Linked DNA regions of Macaca fascicularis. The protein of the gene in region 2 binds, or shares a complex with, the protein of the main gene of each other region. Links are inferred from orthologs where the notes say so. Each region holds a gene or a part of one and is shown on either strand. Other genes may lie near its edges. The genes, in order: POLR3K and POLR3F.

Evidence for each region.
Region 1: POLR3F (region 2) and POLR3K share a complex: the UniProt entries of both Homo sapiens proteins name them as parts of the RNA polymerase III complex. The link is inferred for Macaca fascicularis from reciprocal best matches to the Homo sapiens genes POLR3F and POLR3K.

The regions. Positions count from the first base shown.
Region 1 is NC_088394.1:781,575-786,162, forward strand, and holds the start of POLR3K (DNA-directed RNA polymerase III subunit RPC10), read right to left. Parts: upstream 3,098-4,588; 5' UTR 3,046-3,097; coding exon 2,935-3,045; intron 514-2,934; coding exon 426-513; intron 1-425. Other genes in the region: SNRNP25 (U11/U12 small nuclear ribonucleoprotein 25 kDa protein), read left to right, coding at 3,372-3,515. UniProt on the Homo sapiens protein: Core component of RNA polymerase III (Pol III) which synthesizes small non-coding RNAs using the four ribonucleoside triphosphates as substrates. Can mediate Pol I proofreading of the nascent RNA transcript.
Region 2 is NC_088384.1:68,810,946-68,814,759, forward strand, and holds part of POLR3F (DNA-directed RNA polymerase III subunit RPC6), read right to left. Parts: intron 3,396-3,814; coding exon 3,328-3,395; intron 1,678-3,327; coding exon 1,565-1,677; intron 1-1,564. UniProt on the Homo sapiens protein: DNA-dependent RNA polymerase catalyzes the transcription of DNA into RNA using the four ribonucleoside triphosphates as substrates.

The DNA.
Region 1 (4,588 bases), on a different chromosome or scaffold from region 2:
ATCAAACAGAAAGAACATACTTTTTTCCTTAGATTCTTATTTTTATTAATCTACTCATCATTGCCATTATCAAAGCTATCACCTGCTCACTGCCTCTTATATACCAAGCACGGTATAACTCACTTTATGCTCTCACGATCTACGAATATGGATTAGCCCCAGAGAAGTCAAGAGACCCAAGGAAGGTCCTACCACAGTACAAGGGCCTGAGGATCTAACATGGGCCTGTATGACTCCAAGGCTTGTACAAATATTGCTTGTGTAACAGATTACTAAACAGTAACAAATACTAATAAATTATTCAAAAACCATTTCTATTTTTAGAAACCTACATCATTTATATGACATCACAGACTCTGCCATGCAGTGGCATCAACAGCCTCATAATTATCCAGTTTAGCAACAGAAACAGTGTTCCCTCTTACCTGCAGTAGAGTCAACATTCTCCCAGGCAGCTGCTCCACCAAGCACATCATCCACTTCTTTCAGTTTTGGGTACTTCCGATTTGTTACCTAACAAAAACAACACTTCAGACTCCAGGTAACTGCATAGCACAAACCTGGGCTGCCAAACCTCGAATTTCAGGATTATATAAGAGTTCACTCTTCCCACAGTTTCCAACTCCAAACTCCCACAACACAGTACAAAATGTAGTAGCATGCAAACATTAAGACTGAGGTAGCACCAACATATTCTTTTTTTTGTTTTGTTTTGTTTTGTTTTTTGAGACGGAGTCTCGCTCTGTCGCCCAGGCTGGAGTGCAGTGGCGCGATCTCGGCTCACTGCAAGCTCCGCCTCCTGGGTTTACGCCATTCTCCTGCCTCAGCCTCCTGAGTAGCTGGGACTACAGGCGCCCGCCACCGCGCCCGGCTAATTTTTTGTATTTTTAGTAGAGACGGGGTTTCACCGTGGTCTCGATCTCCTGACCTTGTGATCCGCCCGCCTCGGCCTCCCAAAGTGCTGGGATTACAGGCGTGAGCCACCGCGCCCGGCGGTAGCACCAACATATTCTAACTTCTAAAAATAAAGGTATTCTGGCCAGACGTCGTGGCTCATGCCTGTAATCCCAGCACTTTGGGAGACCAAGGCAAGTGGATCACCTGAGGTCAGGAGTTCGAGACCAGCCTGGTCACCGTGGTGAAACCCCGTCTTTACCAAAAATACAAAAATTAGCTGGGGGGTGGTGGCAGGAGCCTGTAATCCCAGCTACTCAGGAAGCTAAGGCAGAAGAATTGTTTGAACCCGGGAGGCAGAGGTGGCAGTGAGCCGAGATTGCACCATTGCACTCCAGCCTGGGAAGCAAAGCCAGACTGTGTCTCAAAAAAAAAAAAAAAAAGCTGGGCACGGTGGCTCACGCCTGTAATCCCAGCACTTTGGGAGGCCAAGGCAGGCGGATCACAAGGTCAGGAGATCGAGACCATCCTGGCTAATACACGGGGAAAGCCTGTCCACTAAAAACACAAAAAAATTGGCCAGGCGTGGTGGCTCACACCTGTAATCCCAGCACTTTGGGAGGCCGAGGCGGGCGGATCACAAGGTCAGGAGATTGAGACCATCCTGGCTAACACGGTGAAACCCTGTCTCTACTAAAAATATTAAAAATTAGCCGGGCGTGGTGGTGGGCGCCTATAGTCCCAGCTACTAGGGAGGCTGAGGCAGGAGAATGGCGTGAACACGGGAGGCGAAGCTTGCAGTGAACCGAGATGGCGCCACTGCACTCCAGCCTGGGCGACAGAGGGAGACTCCGTCTCAAAAAAAAAAAAAAAAGTAAAAGTATTCTAAAAAGTAAAAAGAAAATATGTATTATCAAAGGAAAACAACAAGTTATAATAAAGCATGCATCATCTGCTTACTGAACACCTACTATATTCTAGGTTTCATTTTAGTTGTTCAGAATATAACATAGAAGGGAACAAAACGGAAAACCTCTGCCCTCCTAGACCTTAGGTCCTACTTTTTTTTTCTTTTTTTTGAAACGGAGTTTCACTCTTGTTGCCCAGGCTGGAGTGCAGTGGCGCGATCTTGGCTCACTGAAACCTCCGCCGCCCAAGTTCAAGCCATTCTCCTGCCTCGGTCTCCCGAATAGCTGGGATTACAGGCGCCTGCCACCATGCCCGGCTAATTTTTGTATTTTTAGTAGAGATGGGGTTTCATCATGTCAGTCAGGCTGGTCTCGAACTCCTAACCTCAAGTGATACACCCGCCTTGGCCTCCGAAAGTGCTGGGATTAGAGGCGTGAGCCACGGCGCCCGGCCAGGTCCTACTATTAATAAACAAAGCACACGATACATTACGTAATGTATTCGAAGGTAACAAGCCCTGTGGAAACAATTACAAAGGGAAGGAGGATACATTGGACGGAGGGGCTGCAATTTAAAATACGGTAAAGACAAGACCAATGAGTAAGGTGGCTATCTAGGGGAAGAGCGAAGTTAGTAACAGTAAGTGCAAAGGCCCTGCGAGCGCCATGTGCACAATGAGAGATCGTCCAGGAGGCTGGTGTTGATGGGGCAAAGGGCAATAGGACTTGAAATCGGAGAAGCAAGTCGGGGAGGGGGTCAGTGTCTGAACATGGTAGGCCCTGGAAGAATTCCAGCTTTTCGTCTGCACGAGCTGGGGAACGGCCGAAGGTTTCTGCGCACAGCACGGACCTACGTGCCTCAGCTTTAAGGGAATCGCCGTGGCCGCTGCTGTGAACGCAGAGGAGGGCGCAAGCGTGGGAGCAGGAACCCAAGGAGGCGGGAAACGGTGGGGCTTTCTGAGTGTGCTGGAGCCCACAGAAAGAGCCCACAGATCTGCTGCAGACCGGAAGGGGGAGCGAGAAAGAGCGGACAGAGGCAGACGCCGGGGCTGGCGGCGATGGCGCCGCAGTCGGAGGAAGGGGAAGGCCTGCGAGAGGCGCCCGCGGCCCAGCGCCGGCCTTCGGGTCCCACCTTGCGGGTGATGTTGTGCACGTAGGGGCACGTGTTGCAGGCGAAGCGGTGGCAGCGTTGTCCCTCCTCCACGATCAGCCCGTTCCCGCAGCCGGGGCAGAATAGCAGCATGGTCTCGAACTCCGCAGGCGCCAACCACCGGCAGCTCACACTGCCGCTCAGCGCCGACGCGCGGCCCGCCTCGAGCTTACATTGGTCCTGGCGGCCGCCTCGCCCCGCCCACCAACCAATAGACAGGGCGATTCTGCGCTCCCAGCCCTGCTGCTGGCTGTCTCGCACTTGTCATTGGTCACTGCAGCCGCCCCACCCCTCGGCGCACCAATGGCTGGGCGGCCTCGCTGGGACCGGCCGCAGTTCCTGCGCGTGCGCGCTTGGCCTCCCTAGTGCGTACTGGAAGTGCCGGCAGAGACCGGCTGAGAGGTGCTGCCCTGGAGGAGATGGAGGCCGCGGGTGGGTCCGAGGCGCAAGAGGAAGATGAGGACGAAGAAGAGGCGCTGCCGCACTCCGAGGCCATGGACGTGTTCCAGGAGGGTCTGGCTATGGTGGTGCAGGACCCGCTGCTCTGCGATCTGCCGATCCAGGTGTGTGCTGGCGGGGGCCAGGGGGGCGGGAGTCGTTCCCCGGGGGCCGGGCGTCCGGGCGCGCGCAGCCTCTGAAGGTGCTGGTGGGAGGCTGCGGCCCAAGGCTGAGGAAGGCGCCTCTGGGCGTAAACAAGGGTCTTTACCTTGGCCAGGCACACTCGCCTGCGGCGCGAAGTTTAAAGAGGAACCAAAACCCTCATTAGTGAGTGACATTAAATGAAATTTTAATGTAATTGTATTTAGGGGGCTGGGGGGACAGGGTCTTGCTCTGTCGCCCAGGCTGGAGTGCAGTGGAGCGATCTTGGCTCACTGCAGCCTGCACCTCCTGAGCTCAAGCCATCCTCCCACCTCAGCCTCCGGAGTAATTGGGACCACAGATGCGCGCCACCACACCCGGCTAATTTTTAAATTTTTTGTACAGAGGGAGTCCCACTATGTTGCCCAGGCTGGTGTCAAACTCCTGGGCTCAGGCGATTCTCCTACCTCAGCCTCCCAAAAAGCTGGGATTATAGGTGTGAGCCACCCACTCGGCCTGTAATAGCTTTAAAAGTCAAAGGTGATGCAAAAAAAAAAAAAAAAAAAAAAAAAACCCTACGATAAACGAAAAAACTTAGTTCCATTTGCCTCAAGCGTCAATATGCTTTGGCACGATACTTTTTATTTATTTGAGACTGAGTCTTGATTTGTCGCCAGGCTGGAGTGTAGTGGTGCGATCTTGGCTCACTGCAACCTCCCACTCCCAGGTTCACTACAGGAACACGGCACAACGCCCGGCTAATTTTTTGTATTTTAGTGGAGACGGGGTTTCACCATGTTGGCCAGGATGGTCTCAATCTCCTGATCTAGTGATCCGCTGGCCTCGGCCTCCCAAGTGCTGGGATTACAGGCGTGGACCACCGCACCCGGCCAGTTTTAAATGTTTTATATTTTGCTCATCATGGATATTTTAATTGCCTTGTATTTCTTAAATGTTGTATTAAAATATTTGTTATTACCGTTTTTTGTGTACACCTGCCTTACTCAGTCCTGGGCCCTGGCCTGGGTCCTGATGATCAGGGATACTCAGGGTGAAC
Region 2 (3,814 bases):
TCTCTTAGCAATGTCTTGCAAAGCCGAGGTTTTCAAAAAATTTTGATAAACTCCAACTTATCAACATTTTCTTTCATAGACTACTATTGGAGTTGTAGTCCAACAATTCATTAATAAAGCCAAGGTCATGTAGATTTTCTGTGTTTTCTTCTAAAAGTTTTATAGTTTTGCACTTTACACTTAGATCTAAGATTATTTTAACCCTTAAAAGGACACAGAAGTTAAGCAACGGATGAATGAACAAACGGTGATATACATCTGTACAATGGAATTTTAATTGGCAATAAGAAGGAATGAAGTACAATATGGATAAACCTTGAAAACATCACGCTAAGTCAAAGTAGTAATACATAAAAAACTACATATTCTATTATTCCATTCATAGGAACTGTCCAGAATAGGCAAATCTATAATAAAGACAGAAAATAAACTATTCGTTGTTAGAGACTGTGGAAAGAGAGGCTGGGAAATAAATACTAGTGGTCACATTTGGGGGTGACGAAAATGTTCTAAAATTAGGACAGCGGTGATAGTTGCACAACTCTAAGATTATAGTAAAAACCAGTGACTGTAAATCCAAAGATTTTACACTTTAAAAGGATGAATGAATTCTGTGGTATGAATGATGAATTATATTTCAGCAAAGCTGTTATTAAACATAAAGATGTAGAAGGAAGACTGGCAAAATGAGGCTAGGTGATGGATACACAGGGATTTATTATATGATTTTTTCTACCTTTATATATATTTGAAATTATCCATTAAACAATGTGGAAGGGAAATGTTATTCTAAATGAGAAGTGGTACAGCATAAATATTTGATAAATAAAATCACTAATAAGCATCAAATTCTTATAACTGATGTTACAGTTCTTATAATTCTTGTTTTATTCAAAAATAAAAACTTGAAGCAACATATGTAAGTGGATATTTGAGGAAAGGTCTACTCACTGCCACAGACTTAACAGCTTGGAAATTATAAAATTTGAATTATAGCTTTAATTCTTATGAAATGTGTATTGAAGCAAACTTTATTCTAGGGGAATCTCAGCTCCTCTGATGTCTAAATCAGTGAGATTAGGGGCAGATGTCCCTGAGGGAGCAAGCTCTGGAGCAGGAGTGGGACGGGATGAGGAGCAGGAAAAACACACGTGTACTAGAAGAGAAGCTCCACCAAGGCAGGAATCTTTCTACGACTTGTTCATTAATGTATCCCAAGCACTCAGAACAGTGTCTGGCACACAGAAAATACTCTTTGTTGAATGAGAAAGTTAGTATGTTGGGATAAAGTAAATTATCCTATATACCATAAAATCTAGGAAAAATGTTCACAGTTCCAAAGATTCTTCACTGAAGACAGTAAAGTAGTTTTAGATCTTTGGGTGGGTGAGACACCAAGAACCAACTGTGTAGGGACAAGTCTAAGCAGTATCTCCAAACCAATCCAACATGAGCTAAATTTTTAAGTCTTTTTGGACCAGCTGTTCTAAATCATGACATAACTTCAAGAATTCAAACTTGGAGCAACATATGTAAGTGGATATTTGAGGAAAGGACTACTCACTGCCACAGACTTAACAGCTTTGATAAGCTTTTTACTTTCCAAATTCTTCAGGATTTTGTTGATTTCTGTTAATGGCAAATTACTTTTATAGCGGATATCTCTGCTCCATATTCCTATGAGAAAGTAAAGTAAAATAAGTTGAGCTATGTTTTCATGGATTTTTAATTTTATTCCTCTAACTCATATCTCATTCCAAAGCTAGCAGTATAAAGCTAACGGTAAAAATGAAATGACTTAGAGGTAAGAACCTTGGCTAAAGTAGCAAAAGTATGCCAAACAATAAATAAGTCTAATGCTTTATAAGATTTATTATTATTATAATGATTTATAATTTCTAACCAGAAATTTCTTGGAATCCCAGTGTGGCACACTTTTAAAAATTTTATGGAAAGGGCCGGGCACAGTGGCTCATGCCTGTAATCCCAGCAATTAGGGAGGCCGAGGCAGGTGGATCACTTGAGCTCAGGAGTTTGAGACCAGCCTGGCCAACATGGTGAAACTCTGTCCCTATTAAAAATGCAAAAATAATTAGTGGGGCCTGGTGGCGTGCACCTGTACTCCTAGCTACTTGGGAGGCTGAGGCACGAGAATTGTTTGAACCCGGGAGGCGGAGGTTGCAGTGAGCCAAGGTCACGCCATTGCACTCCAGTCTGCGCAACAGAGCGAGACTCCGTCTCAAAAAACAAACAAACAAAAATTATGAAAAGGACATTTTTATAATGGAAGGAAGAATCATGGATGCAACAGAATTAACTTATATCATCCGTACCCTTAATTCTGTTTTCTGATATTTTCATTTTAGATTGTAAATGTGAAATACAAACTTAAATTTGGGTCAAGGTCAACTGCCATCCTCAAGTGGGACAAAAACACTCTTTAGATGAGTGTCTGCATGCACGTAATCCATTATTTATACAACATTGTATTTGTGAGATGGAAAAAGGAAGCCTAGGGTTCTTATAGCTGCTAAAAGCCCTGTGTGAGAAGCAATGATTTCTTTTTCAAAGAAGGAAATAAGTGTTATATATGGAAAGGGAATGTATGTAAACATTTTGCTTTATTTTCTTCCCAATGTAGTGGCATAATGAGACAGGAAGATTAAAAAAATATGCAGAATGGCCTTCTCATAGGACTATTTTTAAAAATGTTAATTTTAATAAATATAAGAATTAGTTATATAATTTCAGATTATATCTCAATTTTTCAAGCTACTATCAATGACTCAAATAGATCCTAAATTATTGTAATTGAGGATTGCAATCTAGATACAGTTCTTCAAGGGGGGTAGAAGAGGAACTATAGTGCAGAGGGACATCCATTAAGACACTGCTACACGACACCGGCTTTCCTTTTGGTCCTTGCAAAAACGAGAGGTGTCAGCATCCACAATTTATAGGTAAGATGAAGAAACTGAAGCTTACAAAGTTTAAGTAACTTGTCCATGGTCATATAGCTAGAAGGTACAGATTTTTTAAAAAAAAACTTAAATGTGATTTATTTTGAATAGATAATACATTCATGTGACTCAGAATTCAGAAGTCTTTTTCCATCCCTGGCCATAGCCCTCTAGTTCTTGTCTTTCAAGGCAACAATGGCCTTACTCTTGGGTGTCCTTCAGGCACATGCATGTTATATTTGTATGTTCTATTCCCTTCCTCAGCATACTCTGTTCACCGAGCTCTACCCTGGGAAGCTGAGATCTGGGTCCCTATATTAAGCTCCAAAGACAATGTTTTTTTCTGCTTCATCCTTCACATGCTTACCTTTATTTCCTGCATCCTCTATGATTTGATATACTAGTTTTTCTTGGTTATCTGACCCCTTCATTTTACTGCAGGGGAATAAAGTAAAATTAATAAGGTAAAGACTACAGGATAATCTAATAATCTATATCACTACTTAAAATTAACAGACAAGGTCACCACAGTGACATATTTACCAAAAGAAAGGCTTACCTTAAAAAGAATGAGACAGGCCGGGCGCGGTGGCTCAAGCCTGTAATCCCAGCACTTTGGGAGGCCGAGGCGGGCGGATCACAAGGTCAGGAGATCGAGACCACAGTGAAACCCCGTCTCTACTAAAAATACAAAAAATTAGCCGGGCGCGGTGGCGGGCGCCTGTAGTCCTAGCTACTCAGGAGGCTGAGGCAGGAGAATGGCGTGAACCCAGGAGGCGGAGCTTGCAGTGAGCCGAGATCGCGCCACTGCACTCCAGCCTGGGCAACAGCGTGAGACTCCGTCTCAAAAAAAA